Arabidopsis thaliana: one gene and its partners. The protein of the gene in region 2 interacts with the protein of the main gene of each other region in a pairwise test. Each region holds a gene or a part of one and is shown on either strand. Other genes may lie near its edges. The genes, in order: ECT1, AT1G51580, AT3G13224 and AT3G55290.

Region 1 (5,343 bases), on a different chromosome or scaffold from region 2:
GCAAGCTTCAATGTTCTTAATGACGGCTTCGTCGAGACCAGAGAGATGCCTGTAACCTTCTTTAAGCATCGATTGAATACCATATGGCTGCATCGACATACCCACCATTTTCTAAGGTAACGATCTATAAGCTTCGAAGTTGGGTCACTCGAAACAATAGAGCAAAAACCCTAAAAGCGAAGAAGAAGAAGCTCTGTGAGATTTTCGAAGAAGTTTAGAGAGAAGGTTTTCTGTGAGTAAAAGTGGCCGAGATTGCCCTAGAAAACTTTCGAGGTTTTAAAATGGGAGTTCACAACGGTGTCGTTTTAAATTTTAAGGGGATGGGGGCCAAAAATTGAGATCTTAAATCTTTAGGGGTGAAAGTTGTATTATATGAAAGTTTAGGGACGAATAGAGAACACCATTCCTTCTGGTTTTTGTGCTAAACGGTGTCGTTTTAACTTTTATGGTGATGTGGGCCAAAATGTGAGATTTTTGACATTTACGGATGAGAGTCTTATTATATGAAAGTTTAGGGACTAAAAGAGAAATAACTTGAAAATAACATGATATGAACTTTGAAGGAAAGCCTGAGTTTTTGTTTTATCAGATGTGCGTCCCCTTAAGAGGAACAAAAGACAATGTAAGTTTTGTTTAGATAAGCAGAGAAAACACACAGATTAAAGATGTGTATTAGGTTTTTAGAAATCCCAACCCTGAAGAAAAAACATAATTCAAAACTAAGTTCTTTTAATTAAGTCATCTTCTTCTTTCCTTGCATTGATTCCATCTTTCAACTCAAGTTAATTGTTTCCCCCGAAGCTCCATCAAGGGCCTAATATAACAAAACAATCAAAATGAAACAATCCCAGAGACTGTATCAAGAGGGGTGGTTAATGTGCTTTAGATGCAGCAGGGTTTAAGGAATTGTACCTGTTTCTTTTGCTTGATCTTCTTGTCTCTGATGATCTTCTGCCTTGTCTCATAGAACTTGTAATCATCAAGTATACATGTCTTGCTCATATACTCCTTGAAGATCTTTATGATCTTGGTCCCATGCTCCAGATTCACCTGTACCAAAACCATCACCGTACAGTTTAAAAGCCTGACTAACAGCCATAATCATTATTTATTAGAATTCAATTAGGCTTCAAACATGTCCAAGAAAGGGTTTAGGGGAAGTTCAACGGACCTCTTGAGTGTCTCTGCTATTAGTGACAGGCTTGTTCTCGTTATTCGCCAGGGTAATGTGTCTTAAGAGACTGTTTGGTATGTCTTTGATGATATGCCACTTCACAGGGAAACAACCAATCCATTTATCTTGCTGCCAATACTCCATTGTCTTGTTGAAATCAACAGGGCCTACCATCTCCGCAAGACCAACAAATTGCCCACTTGCATTCACCTGTAGATAAAACCGATTACAGTGAGTTACTTAATGTAAATCTGAAAGGATATTGCACAAGACGTGAAGTAACCTCATACTGACCGAGAACAGAAGATACACAGGGCATTCTTGGGAGTTTTCTTTGGCTTCATAATATGCAGCATTCAACTTCTTGTTGCCAGTTGGTGTGCTCGACCATGCACCATACTTAATACAGTTATGAACATCATCTTCGCTGTATGACTTGATCACAAAGAATTTTGCTTTCACAAATGATTCAGGGAAATTCTCCCCATTGTAGCGCTGGAGATCTACTGCTGAAACGTCTTGCTTCATTGCATCTAGCATTGAAGAGTTAAGAACTTGTGGATTCTTGAAATCACTACTCCTTGGTCCTCGACATAGCTCATTAAGCCTATCTGCTTTCTCATCACTGTAACCACGCCCATGATTGAAGCTTCTGGTCTTTCTATAACCATCAACGGGATACCATCCTCGCCCAAGTTTCCAGGAATCATAACCAAAAGTTCCATATGCATGACCAGAGTCAATTACATTCCCGTAAAGTCCATACAATCCATGGTTGGAATACAAATGATCATTATATCCCAATTGGTCAAAACTTGGTACTTCTTGTGAGCTGTGTGGATTCTGTTAAATAAAACAGTTGTAGCCAGTAATTAGACAAAAAAAAAATCCCAAGTCCCAGCAGAGATGACGAAGAGAACAAAACACACATTCTCTTGACTATATGAAGACAGAAAAGAGGCAGAGAGGTCATGTGAAGTAACCAACATACCATGAGATGTGAAAAGGAACTGTGATTGCTGTTGCGGTCATAACCAAACCTCGGATCAGGGTAGCCACCAGAAGGATAGTTTGCTGGGATGTAACCCCACGGGTATGAACCAATCGAGTCTCCACCATTTAGCAGATTGCCAGCATTCATGTTTGGCCTTCTTTCACTTCCATGAGAAGATGCACCATAAGGTGCATGACCATACGGATGCTGAAAAGAACCCTTCTCAGAAAACAGTCAGTTAACAAAAAAAAAACTCACAGTATATCAAATTCACATTAAATGAGCAGCAAGACCTCTCCACAGAACAGTTTGTAGTTAAAGATCCTTCGACACAACACAATTTAAGTTCCAAAAACTTTAAATTTTCAAAAAGAAGTAGTAATTAAGTACCTTAGTAAAGTTCATAGGAACTTCATTTGCATCTGAACCTAAAGACAAGTCCTGAAACAAATCTGCTGTATCTGCAGCGATTATATACAAGAGCCCAGTTAATATTTTAAAATGACAAAGCCTCAAACTCCAATTGCACAGTCTAAACAAGGCAAATTACTGGTGAAATTCAACCCATAAGCAGATAAAAAAACACTAACTTGCAGAAAAACACAAAATTTCATCTAGCATCCCATAAAGAGGTTTGTAGAGAACTCTAGACACCAATCAATCCTATCAGAAACAGAAAACCTACGACAGATACTGATAACACTAGTCGCTAAACCCTAAACCCAAGGGTAGAAATCAATCGCAAGTTATAAGATGAGCACAAAATGATAACTTCCGATGCCAAAAAAGTTTTAATCTTTGAGCTAAAAGCAACGTACCCAGAAGAGGGAAGCTAGTGACGAGACGATCAGAAGAAGCGGCTCCAGCCATATCGAGAGAAGGCAAAAAAAAGGGATAAGCTTTAAGAGAAGGAAAACCCTAGAAGGTTGGGCAGATGAAAGCAAACGCAACCTCGAAAAACCCAGAGAGAGAGAGCGCTTTTGGTGTGTGGGGGGTTTTAGAAAGTTCCGTTCTTTTTTGTTTTCTTCGTCTTCCTTCCCCTTTAACGTAAGGCGGTGATCTTTAACAAAGAACAGAAATGCCCCCAAATGGGTCAAATTTACGAGGAATTCTAAGCGACAAATTTCGATTTTTTTGCTCCTTTAACCCAAAAAGATAAGGCTCCTCTTCTTAATGACGATTTTTCGTCACACGAGAAGATTCTGAAAATTTGACGTTGATTGCTTTTATTAGTGAGACCTCTTTTTCTTCTTAACTTAAAATCAATATAGCGAATCAGTAAAGCTTAACTACACTTTTAGGACTTTTGCTTAAGAGAAATTATCATGAATTCCATTTGTTTAGGAAGTACTAACCATGGTGATGTTTGTTAATTGTAACATACACATACAAAAGGAGTGGTGGTTGGGATATATTAAAACTTTGCTAATCATTCGCGAGAAATTTACAAATATGGTTTTCATATTGACAACATTAAAATATGAAAATCCGTTAATTTTGAATTCAACTCAAGAAAACTTTTACAAATTTTAGGCCAAAAATTATATATAAAATGATCGGTCGCAAACATGGGTTTTCTTGGCTAGGACAAAAAATTGAGTGTGTATGTGATTAGACTCCGTAAGCTAATCAACACACCATATCTATCGGTATCGCATCTAAAATTATTCCTTCATTGCACATATGTAAAAGGGATGATGCTTCATAAACGAGTCTTAGATGGCTTCAAAGATGATTCCAAGGGGATACGAACCTTATGTTAGGCATCGATCCATAATTTTGCTTCTTACCTAAACTTCTATAAAAAAAGAAAGGTAGGCCTTGAACTGGTGATATATTTTAATTTCTGTGGATTTTCTAACATAAGTAGGTGTATGAGAAAAATAAAATCTTAGGTTGATTTGTGGGGTTACTAGTATTGTGGTCTCACATACAACAAAAATAGTAGACAAATTCAAGTCATGTTTAAAATAATAATTAATTCAAATTATTTATGGTGAATTGGAAAACGTTTTTTAAATTTTTATATAAATAAACTCAAAATCTTTAGAGTTTGGTTTCTGCTATGTATAGCTTTTCAAAAGTTATTTAACTTGTGCTCGTGATGGATTCTCAAATATAAATAGCATTAAATTATTTTTGGCAAACATCACATGGAGTTGCACAAAACTGATCAATATGTTTATCCTTTGTCTCACATGTTCTCTCATTCATTAGTTGTATGAGGCGGTAAGGACAACATCATCCTCAAGGCCGGAAAAAACTCAAAAACATTCCCAACAACTTAATTCCACATACAGTATATGCACCATTAAATTGGTGTTAGATGCAACAATTTTATTTTTGCAACCAGATTTTTAACCACTTTAAAAACACTCACTAGAGAAGAAATATATATAAGATATTAAGTAAACACATGATAACTTTGAAGTCTTTCTATGCCATCTCACTCGACTGATATTAGAGTTAAATATATTTATTCTAAGCATGTTTTAAATAATTTGATTGCCTAGAATTTATAGCCAAACAATATGAAATGTACTTGAATCTTACGTTTTTTTTTTAATAATCACTTGACATATTAATTCCAAATCATTGACTTCTAATACAAATATACAAAGCCATTATGCATACAGCGCGATGTGCTTCACCGATCTCCATGAATTAATGGATTTTGTGACATACGATTTGTTGTCAACAAAAAGAAACAAGTTCCTCTTTCTTTTTTTTCATTGTTTCAAAACAAATCGAGTGAAAATTTATGTGATAAATGTGCTTACACGTATGACATAACAAAGCATTTTCTTAATTAAGTTTTCTTCATATAACATTTTAGAATATTTCTATGAACAAATATCTGTACAAAAAAAAAGGCACGCGAGGAACCCAAAGCGGAACAGCGATAGCCAATAAGTAGCATCTGCGATTAGGGATGATGAGCACAGAGAACAAAAAAAAGTTAACGTTGCAAAAATGATTTTTTTTAAAAAGAGAAAAATTAATTAGTGTTAAATTCTCAAAATATTATTATTAGTAATATTTTTTACGTAGAAAAAAATATCGAAAAAAGTGAATCAATCCTTCCCCCAAGAAACAAAAAAAAAAACTTACTTTTTTTTGCCAAAACTCAAAAATCTCTTTACAAAAATTGCAACCTCTTCTTCATCGTCTCATC
Region 2 (5,132 bases):
GTGGGGATGGAATATATTTCAAGCATTTGAGAAGAACTCTCGCGTAGAATCTGGATATGTAGGCTTGAAGGATGTAAGTTTCGAGCCGGGCTGACCTTAACCAATCAGATACCCTCCTCGAGTGGGCCTTTCCATCTTTCGGAAACACGTTGTTAACGTTTGCTTCTTCATTTTCAGGTCAATACAGGTGCTAAAGACAACAAGATGCAAAGCTTCTTCTTAGCTGAGACTCTTAAGTATCTATATCTTCTCTTTTCGCCTTCATCTGTTATTTCATTAGACGAGTGGGTTTTCAACACAGAAGCCCATCCGCTTAAGATTGTGGCACGGAATGATCCGCGTAAGCCAACTATAGCACTACGCCAGAGGAAGTTTGGTCATCAGATTAACGTTTAGTAGACAGTTTCTGCTCAAATGGAATTTGATATTATTATATATTACCACAAAGTTTGAGGCACATTGTTGTATCAGTTTAAAGAACAGATGGACAACGTTTTTGCCACAGCAATTTGTAGAGGTACTTTACTGTTTCCTATGATTTTTGGATTTGTAGAAGAGCTTTTTTTTACTATCATGTTAAAATTGTACACACTTTGAAAAGAGAGCAATCAAGATTGACCACAGAGAATAAAAGCATGAAGAAGGCTTTGAGCAAAGTGAGCTTGATCCGATGTGCCTGAGACAACCACCAGTCCTTCTGTAGTCCCTGCCTTTGGATCATGCACAACCACATTCGCTCCTGATACCTAGTTGATTAGGTTTACAAACGGTAATCAGATGCAGCCTTTCAAAATGACCAGCTGCTCATATATTATCGGCAACATACCTGTTTGATGTAATTCAGGTTACTGCAGTTCTCACCATAGACATGACCTAAGTATGCTTGAGGAATCACAATCTCCACATTTGCACTTGTCATTACTGGATTCTCGCTGCCAACACCATAACCAAAAGGCAATAATGTGAAATTAGTGGATAAAATTCCTTCGTACAGTTTCTGGCATTTCAAAGTCATTTAGTTTTAAAGTGAACAAAGACAGCGCCGGGAAAGTGATACCTGCCAATGGGCTCATTTCTCAAAGCAAATCCATGGTTCACATCAGGAGGAACCATACCACCGGGATGGCCATCGATTCCCGGCTGGCGATTGAGAAATGTTGAATTAGAAAGAAATAAAAGGACATGACAGCTAACGAAGGAATAAAGATCATTGAGTTCACATACCTGCGGGGTCCAAGACATTGGGGAAGGTGGCCTGTCAAATCCAGGACCAGGTGGCCTATCAAATCCAGGACCATGACAATGCCTCTCTGTATCATATGTAACAAGTAGACATTATTAAGAAACTGAGATTGATGCATGTATCAACTGGTGATCATGGGTCGGAAATTGATGAAATACCATGGAATGGTCCTACTGGAGAATGGTAACGATCTGGAGAAGCTGGATATTGTCTCGGTCCAAATGGGGGAGGCGGTTCTGGATACGGACCCATGAACGGCGGAGGTGGACCACCCATTCCTTGAAAAGGAAGTCTTCCAGGAAACATTGCTTCCCGAAGCCTACATAATATTTGGAACAAAGCATCTTGAACAGTTTTCAAATTACCAATGACCTGCCAATCCAGCAAAAAGGTGTCAAATAACAAGAAAACTACAGAGTTGAAAAACTTATCGAGGCCGCGGATGTTATATAAAATTTACCTGAACAATCTCATCATGTTGTGATTCATACTTTGTAGCTTGATCTTTCGCAAAGACGCGGATGCTAGCACCAGTTGCTCTCCTCATTTCACTTATCAAATGACCCCCTTTACCCAATAGACGTCCGATATATGGAGAATGTACAAGAAGCCGGGCAACAACAGCAGCACTAGGTTCAAATCCAATCTCAACAATTCTATTATGCACACGCATCACACCATCTTGGGCAAGAGAGTGCCTTCTCTCCAAGTTCTACAACAATGTAAACCAATGAGACAAAGTATCCAATGATATACATAAACCAAATCCATGGAGCAAATCAACATACCTCTCGTGCCGATATCACAATAATCCGCTCCTCTGAATCATGAGTTGGATCCGAAACCTTGATTGACGCACCGCTTTCGTTTTGCAGAGCTCGCACCACAGCTCCACCTTTCCCAATCAAGCTTCCAACTTTATCAGCCGGGCATAACAACCTGAACGCAACCTCCTCTTCAACAACCGGTCTATTAAAGGGTCCAACATCTTCAGGCATTGGATTAGGAGGAGGATGATCCCATTGAGGATGATACTCCATAGAATGATACTCAGGCGGATAACCAGGCTGCGGAAACGGACACTCGTCCCATGTTGGAGGTGCACCACTTTCTTGAAGACAGTTTGTAACCAACAAAAGCGCCTTCTTCACACTCGAAAACTTTCCATTCATCTTCATACAAAAACATTACTAAATCAGCCAAAAAAGCTCTATAAATTGAATAGCCACAAAGACACAAGAAGCTGTGTATACCTGAATCACAACATCTCCAGGGAAAGCACAAGGAGGAATCTGATCAGTAGATGAGATCCTAACAATAGCTCCACTATCTTCTCTAATCTTCTGAATCATCTTCCCTCCTTTACTCATCAAGTAATCTACTTGATTACCTCTAACAATCATCCTACACAAACCTTCACTCTCACCTTTATCCAATTCATCACCATCAACCGTAGCAGCGTCATCGCCAAACACTATTCTTTCGAAAACCCTAAGTAAAGCCATCTGCGCCGACGACGGCGCTTCCTCGTCATCTCCACCACTAGTCCCCGCACACTCGCTCCCTTTCTCTTGCTTAGGCTCTTCAGAGCCAGGGTTTTCGGAATCACACACATTCGATTCGTCCTTCTTCTTTCCACTAGGTGCGATTATCAACACTACACGCTCTTCTGAAGGAACGGGAATATCATCGATGACGCGGATTTTTGAACCGGTTACAGATTGGAGGTGTCGAATGACTGAGCCGCCTTTTCCGATTATTGCACCAGTTCTTGTTGCCGGACAGAGAAGACGGAAATGTACAGACTCCGCCGCCGTCGCTGTCGTCGCCGGACGTTTTGAGGTAGAGAACTCCATTAGTCGAATAAGCTTAACAACGTCGTTTTGAGTTTAACTCAAAGGCTCTTAAATGTTTTAAAATCTGTTTTATAAAATACCACTAAACTATGTTTTTTCTCTTTTCCAAAAATATTTTAATGAGTTTATTTTTTCGAAAATACTACAACAAAAATTTTGTTCCAAATTTATTACAAACACCAAAATTAATTTTTCAAGGTTTATAATTTAAACTTTTGAGTTTAGAATTTGTTGTTAGGATTTAGAGTTTATTTTTACGGTTTAGGATTTAGTTTTGAAAGTTTAAAATCTAGTTTTTGTTTTGTGGTATGTTTTGAGAAAAAAACTAGTGACAGTATTTGTGGAACAATAATACTCAATTTAGGTATTTTTGAGAATTGCCATAGTATGTGAGACTTTTGAGTATTATTTGAAATAAAAGTTCTATTCATATTTTCGTACTTAAAAAAGGAGAGAAAGAAATAAAAATTTATATTGTGTAGTCCTTTTCAAATCAAATTTCATGATTATGAAGAAAATGTTTTTCACTTATTGGCCTTTTTTTTTTTCTTTCTGCCAACTCATAAAATCATTTTGAATTTAAAACAAAAATCGAAAAGAGCAAAAAAAAAAAAAGCAAAAGGAAGAAGAAGACAAGAAAACCTTCACCACTCTACTTCAATGTGTTTTACTTTTCTCTCACTACAGTCCTTTCTCTCTATCTCTTTCTAAAACTCTCTCAATGCTTATCTTCTGATTTTACGAGGAAGAAGAAGAAAGGATTCTTCTTTACTTCTTTCTTTTTTTGGGGGTTTAATGTTAAGCAGATTCTGAGATTTCTGGTGTAAATCGTTTTCTGGGGTTGTTTGTTTGTTTTGAAGATCTAACTTATAGATCTAGTGTTTCTGAAAGAAGAAAAAATCCAAACTTTACTAGTTTCAAAGATGCAGAGACCACCTCCTGAAGATTTCTCCTTAAAGGAGACAAAACCTCATCTCGGTGGAGGCAAAGTCACCGGAGATAAGCTCACAACCACATATGACCTCGTCGAGCAAATGCAGTATCTCTATGTTCGTGTCGTAAAGGCTAAAGAATTACCAGGTAAAGACTTAACTGGTAGTTGTGACCCTTACGTTGAAGTTAAGCTTGGTAACTACAGAGGAACCACTAGACATTTCGAGAAGAAATCTAATCCTGAGTGGAACCAAGTTTTCGCCTTTTCTAAAGATAGGGTACAAGCTTCTTATCTTGAAGCTACTGTCAAGGATAAAGATTTAGTTAAAGATGATTTGATTGGTCGTGTTGTGTTTGATTTGAATGAGATACCTAAGAGAGTTCCTCCTGATAGTCCTTTAGCTCCACAATGGTATAGATTAGAAGATGGGAAAGGCCAAAAAGTTAAAGGAGAGCTTATGTTAGCTGTTTGGTTTGGTACTCAAGCTGATGAAGCTTTTCCTGAAGCTTGGCACTCTGATGCTGCAACTGTTAGTGGAACTGATGCTTTAGCTAACATCAGATCTAAGGTTTATCTCTCTCCTAAGCTTTGGTATCTTAGGGTTAATGTCATTGAAGCTCAGGATTTGATACCGAGCGATAAAGGGAGATATCCTGAAGTCTTTGTGAAAGTGATAATGGGAAATCAGGCATTGAGGACTAGAGTGTCACAAAGCAGGAGTATTAATCCGATGTGGAATGAGGATTTGATGTTTGTTGTAGCTGAGCCGTTTGAAGAGCCTTTGATTCTAAGTGTGGAAGATAGAGTTGCGCCGAATAAAGATGAAGTCTTGGGGAGATGCGCGGTTCCGTTGCAGTATTTGGACAAAAGGTTTGACTATAGACCGGTGAACAGCAGGTGGTTTAACCTTGAGAAGCATGTTATAATGGAAGGAGGAGAGAAGAAAGAGATCAAATTCGCCAGCAAGATCCACATGAGGATTTGTTTGGAAGGAGGGTATCATGTGCTTGATGAGTCTACACATTACAGTAGTGACCTAAGACCAACTGCAAAGCAACTGTGGAAGCCTAACATCGGTGTGCTTGAGCTAGGGGTCTTA
Region 3 (5,189 bases), on a different chromosome or scaffold from region 2:
AATGCACTTAAAGCAACATTAGCAGGCAAGTAATTATATGGTATAATTTATACCTCGCTCGGACTGTTGTGGGATCTGAAAAGTTTCAACTACAGCATATTGAGTATCGTTTTCTACAACAGAATCTGATACAGCCACTGATACACTACTTTCTTTAGACTTATCCGGCTCAACAACATCCTTAGAAGAAGAAGTAGCCTTGGAGAGAGGCTGTTCCTCTGTGTCCACCTTGTCCACAGGGGATATGATAGCATCTTGAATTTTCTGGTTACTGATTCCACTTGGAAGACTTATAGGGTTCGGGGCCCTGAAAAAGAATAGAATGCGTTAGGAAGCCCATATCCAAAGAGGGAATTAAAGACATAGACAGAATTAAAAGTATGGATACATTATGGAAGAAGGTTTTGTGTCGTTTCTTGCATTGTTAGGAGCAGACGAAGCAGTTCCAGAACCTCCTATTATGTGATTAGCTCCACTCTGCTTTTTAAAAGCTGCACTTCTTCCATTACTGGCATCTGAATCAACAAAGAGCTTGAATCAAGGAAGGAAATATAGAACACAAGTTTAGAAGTAAAAGAACATAAACCACAATGACCTGTGTAACTTGAAGCAAAGTTCTTCCGTCCAGTCCGGCCCCTTCCTTGTGTATTTGGCACTAAATTCTACAACAGGTAATACACATAAAGGCATAAGAGAAACGAGATGATGTAAGCTAAACAGAGAACTCAAGACCACACTTAAAATGCAAAGTAAGGATTCAAAAGAACATAGGAAAGCTACCTCTTTCTTTCTCTCCCGTTTGCTTCTCACCTCATGAAATGTATCTGAAAGATCAGTAATAATATATGAGTACATGTCTGCTATCAAAGTACATGATTATGTTGATCTTGAAACAGTAGACAGAATCAAAACTTAACCCAGATGCCCAATCTCAATCAAAGCTAAACAGAAATTCCCTTTCCACATTCCAGCTAGATTGGTAAAGATTTAAAACGACAGTTTCTTAGTCATGAACCCAAATTCTACATATTCCATTTCAGTAAAAAAGATTCCTTATTTGAACATCCCCAGACATATTATACCAATTAGAAATCTAAATAAACAAAACATAAGATTCTAAGCATAACACACAGATTCTAAGACAAGACCAAAATCGACAAAGGGCATTAAATAGCAAAATCCAAAACAAAACCCTAGGAGAAGCACACGCTCAATACAACAAAAAGGAAGTAAAAACACTAAAACAAAAACAAATGCTGAAGCTTTCTCAGTAAAACAACCTAAATAGAGAAGCTTCTGAGTGGTCTCATGTGGATCACTGAAACACTCCTTAAAGACAGAGAAGATATCCTCGTCGGAATGTTGTTTACCGGTAACCTCTCTGATGTTTTGAATGGTTTGAAGCAGATCAGCCGGAATAGAAACCCTAGAGCCGCCATCGCCGCTGATCCTGCTCATGTTGGTTACAGAGAGAAAGAGAAGCGGAGGGAGGAGGAGAGAGGAAATATGGGTTGAACATAAAGACTTCGTATATAGTACTATTATTTATTTCCGTACAATCTACCGCTTAATGTCTCTCTCTACGTATATTTATACGCTGACGTCACTGTTTATCAATTTCCTCCTCATTATTTGATTGAGTACTATTATTTATTTCCGTACAATCTACCGCTTAATGTCTCTCTCTACGTATATTTATACGCTGACGTCACTGTTTATCGATTTCCTCCTCATTATTTGATTGTTTTGTACGCGTTTAATGGAAGGAGAGACAACAAAGTTGATATGGCCGAGTTGGTCTAAGGCGCCAGATTAAGGTTCTGGTCCGAAAGGGCGTGGGTTCAAATCCCACTGTCAACAATTTACTTTTTTTTTTTTTGTCTTTTTACAAGAATAGGAAAAATAGACAGCTGTGTAAAAAAATATTAACTTTGTTTTGTTTCCACAAGTCGATGTCCAAATTTAAGAATATATATATATTACACGATTTAGCTATCTCCTCTAATTAGATGAAGAGACATCAGATCTTATCAAAACCCTAGCTTTCGGTGTCTCTCTCGATCCTTTAGCTCAATCGAAAACTGAATTTAGGAGCTGCGATGGGTTCCAGATCTCGTAATGATAATTTCCAGTCCGGCGATGGCGCTAGTCCTGGGTACGTTTACTTCTCCTACCTCTTGCATGTTTGATTCCACAGGATTAAGGGAAATATCTCATAATCTGTTGGCTTTGTAACTCTTTTTATATTGTTGGTTAAGGTTTAATTTATGTTTTGCTTGGAATTTTTGTGTTGCAGGAAAATATTCATTGGAGGATTGCACAAAGACACGACTAATAGTAAGTTTCTTCCTCTTGTTTTGTTCTAGAAATTGCGTTTCTAAGTTTTGTTATGTTATGGATTCTTGTGTGTGTTTCTGATGTTAGACCTGTTGGAATGTTGATTCTACTTGCTCACTTTGGTTTTGATTGCAGCTGTGTTCAATAAGCACTTTGGCAAGTACGGGGAGATTACAGATTCTGTCATTATGCGAGATCGACATACTGGACAACCTAGGGGTTTCGGTTTCATCACCTTCGCTGACCCTTCTGTTGTTGACAAAGTTATCGAAGATACTCATGTCATCAATGGCAAACAGGTCGGCCACTTCTCTTTTCTTCCTTCACTAGCTTATAGTGTTCATTTTTAGTAGGGTGTTGGGTCTTGATCAATACTTTTTTCCTTGTTTTGATGGAACAGGTTGAGATCAAAAGGACTATTCCGAAAGGTGCTGGTGGCAATCAGTCAAAGGACATCAAAACAAAGAAGATTTTCGTTGGTGGTATACCCTCAACGGTTACAGAAGGTAGACCTCCCTCTTGGCATGATATTTTTTTGCTTTCCATGAGAATGCTGGTTTCCTGTCCTTATTGAAGTTGGTTTCTTTTTCTGTTGATCAGATGAACTTAAGGACTTCTTTGCCAAGTATGGGAACGTGGTGGAGCACCAGGTTATTCGAGACCATGAAACAAACAGGTCCAGAGGTTTTGGTTTTGTAATTTTTGATAGCGAAGAAGTCGTAGATGAATTATTGTCCAAAGGAAACATGATCGATATGGCAGACACTCAGGTAAGCTTGTACAAATGGGGATTAGAATTTTGGTTCATGATGACATATTTATCTTGGTTTCAATTTGATATTTTCTCCTTGTTCCTTTCATTATACACGTTTAACTTAGTTAGAATTCTACCCACTAGCTTACCAAATGTAAGGAGCTTGTCACAGTAAGATAGGAAATCCCTGCTATAGTTTGGGTCCTTAGCATAGCTAGGTTAATTAAGTTGCTTTGTTGTAGGTGGAGATCAAGAAAGCTGAACCAAAGAAATCTCTAAACCGTTCACCTCCTTCTTACGGTAGTCACCCTAGAGGTCGTTCTTCTAACGATAGTTATGCAAGTTATGGTGGACCTTACGGAGGTTTTGATGGAGGGTATGGTCATCCTCCAGGTCCCATTAGGTCACATGGAGGTCCTGCTAGTAGATATGCTGGGGGATATGGGTATGGTCGTGGCAGTGTAGGCCCTGAATTTGGAGGAGGTTATAATAATTATGGGGGTGGTAGTTTAGGAGGTTACCGGAATGAACCACCCCTTGGCTATTCTAGTCGTTTTGGACCCTATGGGAGTGGGTTTGGTGGTGAGGGATATGGCCGTGGAGGAGAAGGAGCCTATTTGGGATATCCTCGTGGAGGAGGGGAAGGCTATGGGGGATATGGTGGGCCTGGTTACGGCGGTGCATATGAATCTGGTGGCCCAGGTGGCAGTTATGAAGGAGCAGGTGGTCCATATGGGAGGGGTTATAGTAGCAGTAGTCGATACCATCCGTATGCAAGGTAGGGTCGAGGTAATAGCAATCAGTTGGAGCTATAGAAGCTTCTCTCACAGGTTCCTCTAGATTGTTCCAATTGCTCTAGGTGCATTCTAGAGTTATCATGTAGCGCCAACATCAGGAAGGGTTGCTAAGGACAGGAAGAGCATCAAAAAGCTTTTATTAGTCATCTTTTAGTTGTGTGTTTACCTAATTTAAGTGTTGTCTTATCTCTATAACTTAGATTGTGTTATGTAGACTTTAGCATATTTGGGCTTGGAGTTTGTTTCTCACTGGCACAAGAATGATTTATCATTTGGTAGTCTTGTTAGATGATCAATTACTCGCTTAGCTTAGTTTTCACAATCATACGAATTAGCTTAAGAAGCTCTGCAAAATGTGCACTCATCTATTCTTTAGAGCTCAAGTTGAATGCTTTATGTGGTCTCTTGTATCTCTGTACATTTTGTTGTGCTGAACAAAGGTTTGACGGCAGTTAGTGCATGTGTAAGTAGGCATATTTTTGTCAGCTGCATACGTAGGTTCTAGCTACAAATTGGAATTGTATGTGTTTGAAAACGTAAAATCAATTATAAATGTTTTTGAAAATCATCTATACAAGCATGGTTATTTGGTTCTTGTTTCCTTATTTTTTCGGGTAAGGGCCACGGATAATTGGTTAGACATTGGTTCTAATAATGTGGGTTTTGTTATCTGTAATTTCTCGTCAAAATGATGTACTGTATCATTAAATGAATATCACTTATTGTACATGCTTTTATAAGTTAATTGAAATCCAAACTCTTTTACGTTTTAAGTGCAAGGATTGAATGATACAAACAGCAAAGAGACAATTCTAAGACAAAGTTTTCAAAAATTTATGACGACGAATGTGTCACACGTACGACACATTAAAAAGAGTTGACAAAAATACATAATACATAAAAGGTCTACCCAATCATAGTTGATAATCTTAATTAGTGATTAAAACGAAGGTGTAAAGTGTAAACATGATTTTAATCTCAATGCTTTAAGGCCGATCTTAGCAGTAGAGTAAAGTGTAAACGAACGTATTGTTTTTACACCTAGAATTTTAAGTTCTGAAATCCATTCTATCTATTTTTGAAATGCAAAAACGATTTTCCAAAATCTCCATATATTTTGTTTGGTCGATTCCAAATCTCTCTATTTAATTGACGATTTTACTGCAAAGAAAACGACAACCTCGGATATTCAGAACCGCAAAGAAAGGACACAAAGGAAAATCACTATTTTTAGATACATAATGTTTACATTAACTTCTCTTTTATAACTCTACAAATCTTTTTTTCTTTCACCAGTTTCA
Region 4 (3,526 bases), on a different chromosome or scaffold from region 2:
AGATTCAGAAGCATTATTGGGTGATTTTAAGGGCAGATCAAACAATAAGGGAAATAAAAGGCCATGTACAGGAAGTTCAAGTGGAAATGGGAAATTCCAGTCAAGGCCAAGTAACAACACAAGTTGTTTTATCTGTGGAAAGGAAGATCACTGGAAAAGGGAATGCCCTCAAAGAAAGAAACATGCAGAATTGGCTAATATTGCAACTGAGCCTCCGCAACCTTTGGTGTTAACTGTGAGCACTCAAAGCACATGCAAAGAATGGGTTATGGACTCTGGTCGTACATTCCATAGTACATCCGATAGAGCTGTCTTGTTTGACTTCAAGAAATTCAAAGATAGAGCATAACAAAGAGATGATAGTCTCTAGCAAAACTGAAGACTATGGAAGGAGAAAAACCAGAAGTCTGTTTCAATCCCAAAAGTGAAATCACCGAGTGACGCATGATCAAATTAGATGATCCCGATTTTGTTAGCCACAACCAAAGCATCACAATCAGGAGGCTGTTTATTTTTCTGTCCTTTCTTTTTGTGTCTCTGCTGGTTTGTTATTGCAAATTTTTGACGATGTATGTAAATCTTAAAAAGTAGTAGAGAATGAGTAAATGTATTCACTTATTATTGCACAAGATAAGATATTATAAGGTTCGATTTTCAGAGAGATGAAAAGATAGGCACACCGGGCAATGTAGCACCGGAATCAACAATGTATGTATTCCCGGATATATATTGAGAAGAGTCATGAATGAGATAGCGAACCAGAGAAGTAAGCCCTGGATCAACGGTCTGTTGCACCTTTAACGGCACAGTCCTCTCGGTAACATTCTTGAGCCACTCCTTTTGCATAAGACCTTGTGTGATCTCTGACTTGAAAAGCCCCGGTGCGATCGAGTTCACTCTGATCTTATGAACACCTAACTCAAGTGCCATCATCCTTGACATGGTGTCAACACCGCCTTTGGAACAAGCATAAGCAAGTCCACCGGGCAACATACCCCGGATCCCGGCGATCGATGAGATGTTTATCACCGAGCCACCTCGTTTAGCGTCACGCATTAACATACAAACATGTTTGGATACTAACCAAGGACCCTTTAAGTTGGTCTTGAAGACGTTGTCCCATTCGTCCTCTGACAAATCCAAACTCGACTTGACATTGCCTCTGATTCCAGCATTGTTGATCAATGCATCGATCTTTCCAAAGATGTCCCAAGCTTCCCTGACCGCTTTTTGAATGGTGGCTGCGTCTGATGAAACGTCTAACTCAAGAGCTGCGGCTTGGATTCCAGTTGAACTGAAGCTGTTGATTTCAGAGCAGAGAGAGTTGAGTCGATCAACACGACGAGCTGCTGCAATAACCTGGCAACCAGCTTTGGCAAGATCAAGACAGATCTCTCTTCCAATACCAGAGGAAGCTCCTGTCACAAGAACCACTTTGTCTTTAAGTTCACACCATGGCTCCAATAGCTTCAACACCTGCTTTTCTCCCCCAAAAAAAAAACAAAATACAAAAATCAAGTAATTTCAGATTACAAAGACAAAAACACATGATTGACAATTTTTCCATATGGAATCATATGGTAAAGAAGATAACAGAAATCATATTTAAAGGTTAAAAGCATGGTAATTTGGAGAGTGGTCTTATATAAATGGTTATATGAATAGTTTTGAAGATAAAAAGAAAGATGGGAAATGAGAGAAAATGTTATCTCACAGTTTGATGATTGCTCATATTGTTTTCTCTGTGTGGTGTGTTCGATGGCCAATGGGGAAGGAGAAGCCAATAACATATAACATATATAAATACAAGTGTCAAAAAGATATAATCTGATCCATCTGCCAAAGACCGCGGTTCTAGAGATACCAAGTAGAACACGTCCCATAACAAAGGACGGTTTATGCCCAAATCTGTAGGGTCTAGGTCCTAATTAACACTTTAGTCTACTACATGTAAAGCCTACTTCATTACCAGATCGACAATTTAACGTGCCAATGTCTCGAAACTGATTCGTGGGAAACAATTTAGGTTTGATGATTTTATTTATTGTTATCTTTATTAATATATAGATACTCCATCTGTTCTTTTTTATTTGATTTTCTAAGAAAAATATTTGTTTCAAGAAGATTGATTTTTTAGATTTTTTTATACAATATTTATTAGTTATTACTGATAAATTATAAACTTTAATAAAAATAATTGAATATTATTGGTTTAAAATTATAGAAAATTGTAAAACACAAAAAAAATAATACATTTAAAATCAACTTTAATATATTTTTTTAATATATATATCTTTTTTTAGAAAATCAAACAAAAAGGAACAAAAGGAATATATGATTTCTTTTTTTTTTCTTTTTTTTCCAACTATCAATCAATGGTTCAATAATACCGACGTTAGTTCAATGATACCGACGTTTTCTGTCGTTTTCCGGCAACAAGCAACAATAATTCATTTAGTAAAAGTTTTTTACAACCACGAGTTTCTCGCGGATCGATTGTTTTGTTGATTAGATTGGGCTCCACAGACCACAGTGAACTTGTTCTGTACTTTGAAAGCATCTAAACAAAGAGATGGGTCCAATGGACCACTTGAATTTTGGGTTGGGTATTACTTATTAGTTATTTACGAAGGTACGATATAACCAGGTTAAACCGGGATTAGAGAGGTAGCATTAAGAATTGGAACACGATCTGAATAGAAACTATGACGCATCAACAAATACCAAACATATAATCTTTTTGAATCCAAAGATAAAAGCATAACAAAGAGATGGTGATAGTAATATCTTAACTTCTCTAGCAAAACTGAGACTATGGAAGAGAAAAACCAGAAAAAGTAAAATCACAGAGCGACAATGATCAGATTAGATGATCCCGATTTTGTTAGCCACATCCAAAGCATCATAATCAGGAGTCAACCTCACATACGCCTTCTTTGTTCCATCGGGCCTGCATACAAACATACACTCATCACTCCATGTTTACATAAACCCATATCTCAGTGAAGTTTTAGTGTTTACCTAATGAGGGTGTTGACTTTCTTGGTCTGAATGTCATACATCTTCTTGACAGCATCTTTGATCTTTTTCTTGTCAGCACGGATGTCAACAATGAAGACTAAGGTGTTGTTGTCTTCAATCTTTTTCATGGCAGATTCAGTAGTGAGAGGGTACTTGAGGATCTGGTAATGATCCAATTTGTTCCTTGGAGTAGCACTGATCTTTGGGTACTTAGGCTTTCTAGGAACGGTCAATGTCTTTGGCCTGTGGAAAGTAACCTTTGTCCTGATCTTCTTCGCAGGCTTTTTAACGATTTGGCCAGATTTCACTGCTTTCGCAGCTTTCAAAGCCTTAGCCTTAGGGTCGGCTTTCTTGGTGACATCAACTGCAAAAATAATGGAACATTAAACCATTTACACTACTGGTAACAAATCTCATTCAAGGAAAGTTTGATCATTGGCAAATAACAGACAAACAAGCACATAATCAGATGAATCCATAACAGAGTAGGTACGAGCAAGAGAAT

The links.
Region 1: the proteins of AT1G51580 (region 2) and ECT1 interact in a two-hybrid assay, tested with the Arabidopsis thaliana proteins (one large-scale study listed by BioGRID).
Region 3: the proteins of AT1G51580 (region 2) and AT3G13224 interact in a two-hybrid assay, tested with the Arabidopsis thaliana proteins (one large-scale study listed by BioGRID).
Region 4: the proteins of AT1G51580 (region 2) and AT3G55290 interact in a two-hybrid assay, tested with the Arabidopsis thaliana proteins (one large-scale study listed by BioGRID).

What each region holds. Positions count from the first base shown.
Region 1 is NC_003074.8:1,019,197-1,024,539, reverse strand, and holds ECT1 (evolutionarily conserved C-terminal region 1), read right to left. Parts: upstream 3,395-5,343; 5' UTR 3,039-3,394; coding exon 2,987-3,038; intron 2,630-2,986; coding exon 2,559-2,629; intron 2,388-2,558; coding exon 2,166-2,387; intron 2,018-2,165; coding exon 1,469-2,017; intron 1,385-1,468; coding exon 1,172-1,384; intron 1,051-1,171; coding exon 913-1,050; intron 815-912; coding exon 773-814; 3' UTR 525-772; downstream 1-524. Other genes in the region: AT3G03960 (TCP-1/cpn60 chaperonin family protein), read right to left, coding at 1-108. UniProt on the Arabidopsis thaliana protein: Specifically recognizes and binds N6-methyladenosine (m6A)-containing RNAs, and regulates mRNA stability. M6A is a modification present at internal sites of mRNAs and some non-coding RNAs and plays a role in mRNA stability and processing.
Region 2 is NC_003070.9:19,123,579-19,128,710, reverse strand, and holds AT1G51580 (RNA-binding KH domain-containing protein), read right to left. Parts: upstream 3,129-5,132; 5' UTR 3,100-3,128; coding exon 2,497-3,099; intron 2,416-2,496; coding exon 2,032-2,415; intron 1,956-2,031; coding exon 1,704-1,955; intron 1,616-1,703; coding exon 1,402-1,615; intron 1,311-1,401; coding exon 1,225-1,310; intron 1,141-1,224; coding exon 1,058-1,140; intron 933-1,057; coding exon 827-932; intron 747-826; coding exon 609-746; 3' UTR 550-608; downstream 1-549. Other genes in the region: MNS1 (alpha-mannosidase 1), read left to right, coding at 1-73, 178-396; AT1G51570 (Calcium-dependent lipid-binding (CaLB domain) plant phosphoribosyltransferase family protein), read left to right, coding at 4,023-5,132.
Region 3 is NC_003074.8:4,252,749-4,257,937, forward strand, and holds AT3G13224 (RNA-binding (RRM/RBD/RNP motifs) family protein), read left to right. Parts: upstream 1-1,977; 5' UTR 1,978-2,099; coding exon 2,100-2,155; intron 2,156-2,241; exon of another isoform or gene 2,242-2,267; coding exon of another isoform or gene 2,268-2,296; coding exon 2,297-2,337; intron 2,338-2,472; coding exon 2,473-2,636; intron 2,637-2,737; coding exon 2,738-2,843; intron 2,844-2,937; coding exon 2,938-3,107; coding exon of another isoform or gene 3,108-3,266; exon of another isoform or gene 3,267-3,333; coding exon 3,334-3,873; 3' UTR 3,874-4,659; downstream 4,660-5,189. Other genes in the region: GIP1 (GBF-interacting protein 1), read right to left, coding at 54-307, 389-515, 596-662, 781-824, 1,281-1,458.
Region 4 is NC_003074.8:20,500,859-20,504,384, reverse strand, and holds AT3G55290 (NAD(P)-binding Rossmann-fold superfamily protein), read right to left. Parts: upstream 1,878-3,526; 5' UTR 1,733-1,877; coding exon 1,715-1,732; intron 1,480-1,714; coding exon 655-1,479; 3' UTR 517-654; downstream 1-516. Other genes in the region: RPL23AB (ribosomal protein L23AB), read right to left, coding at 2,866-2,950, 3,022-3,385.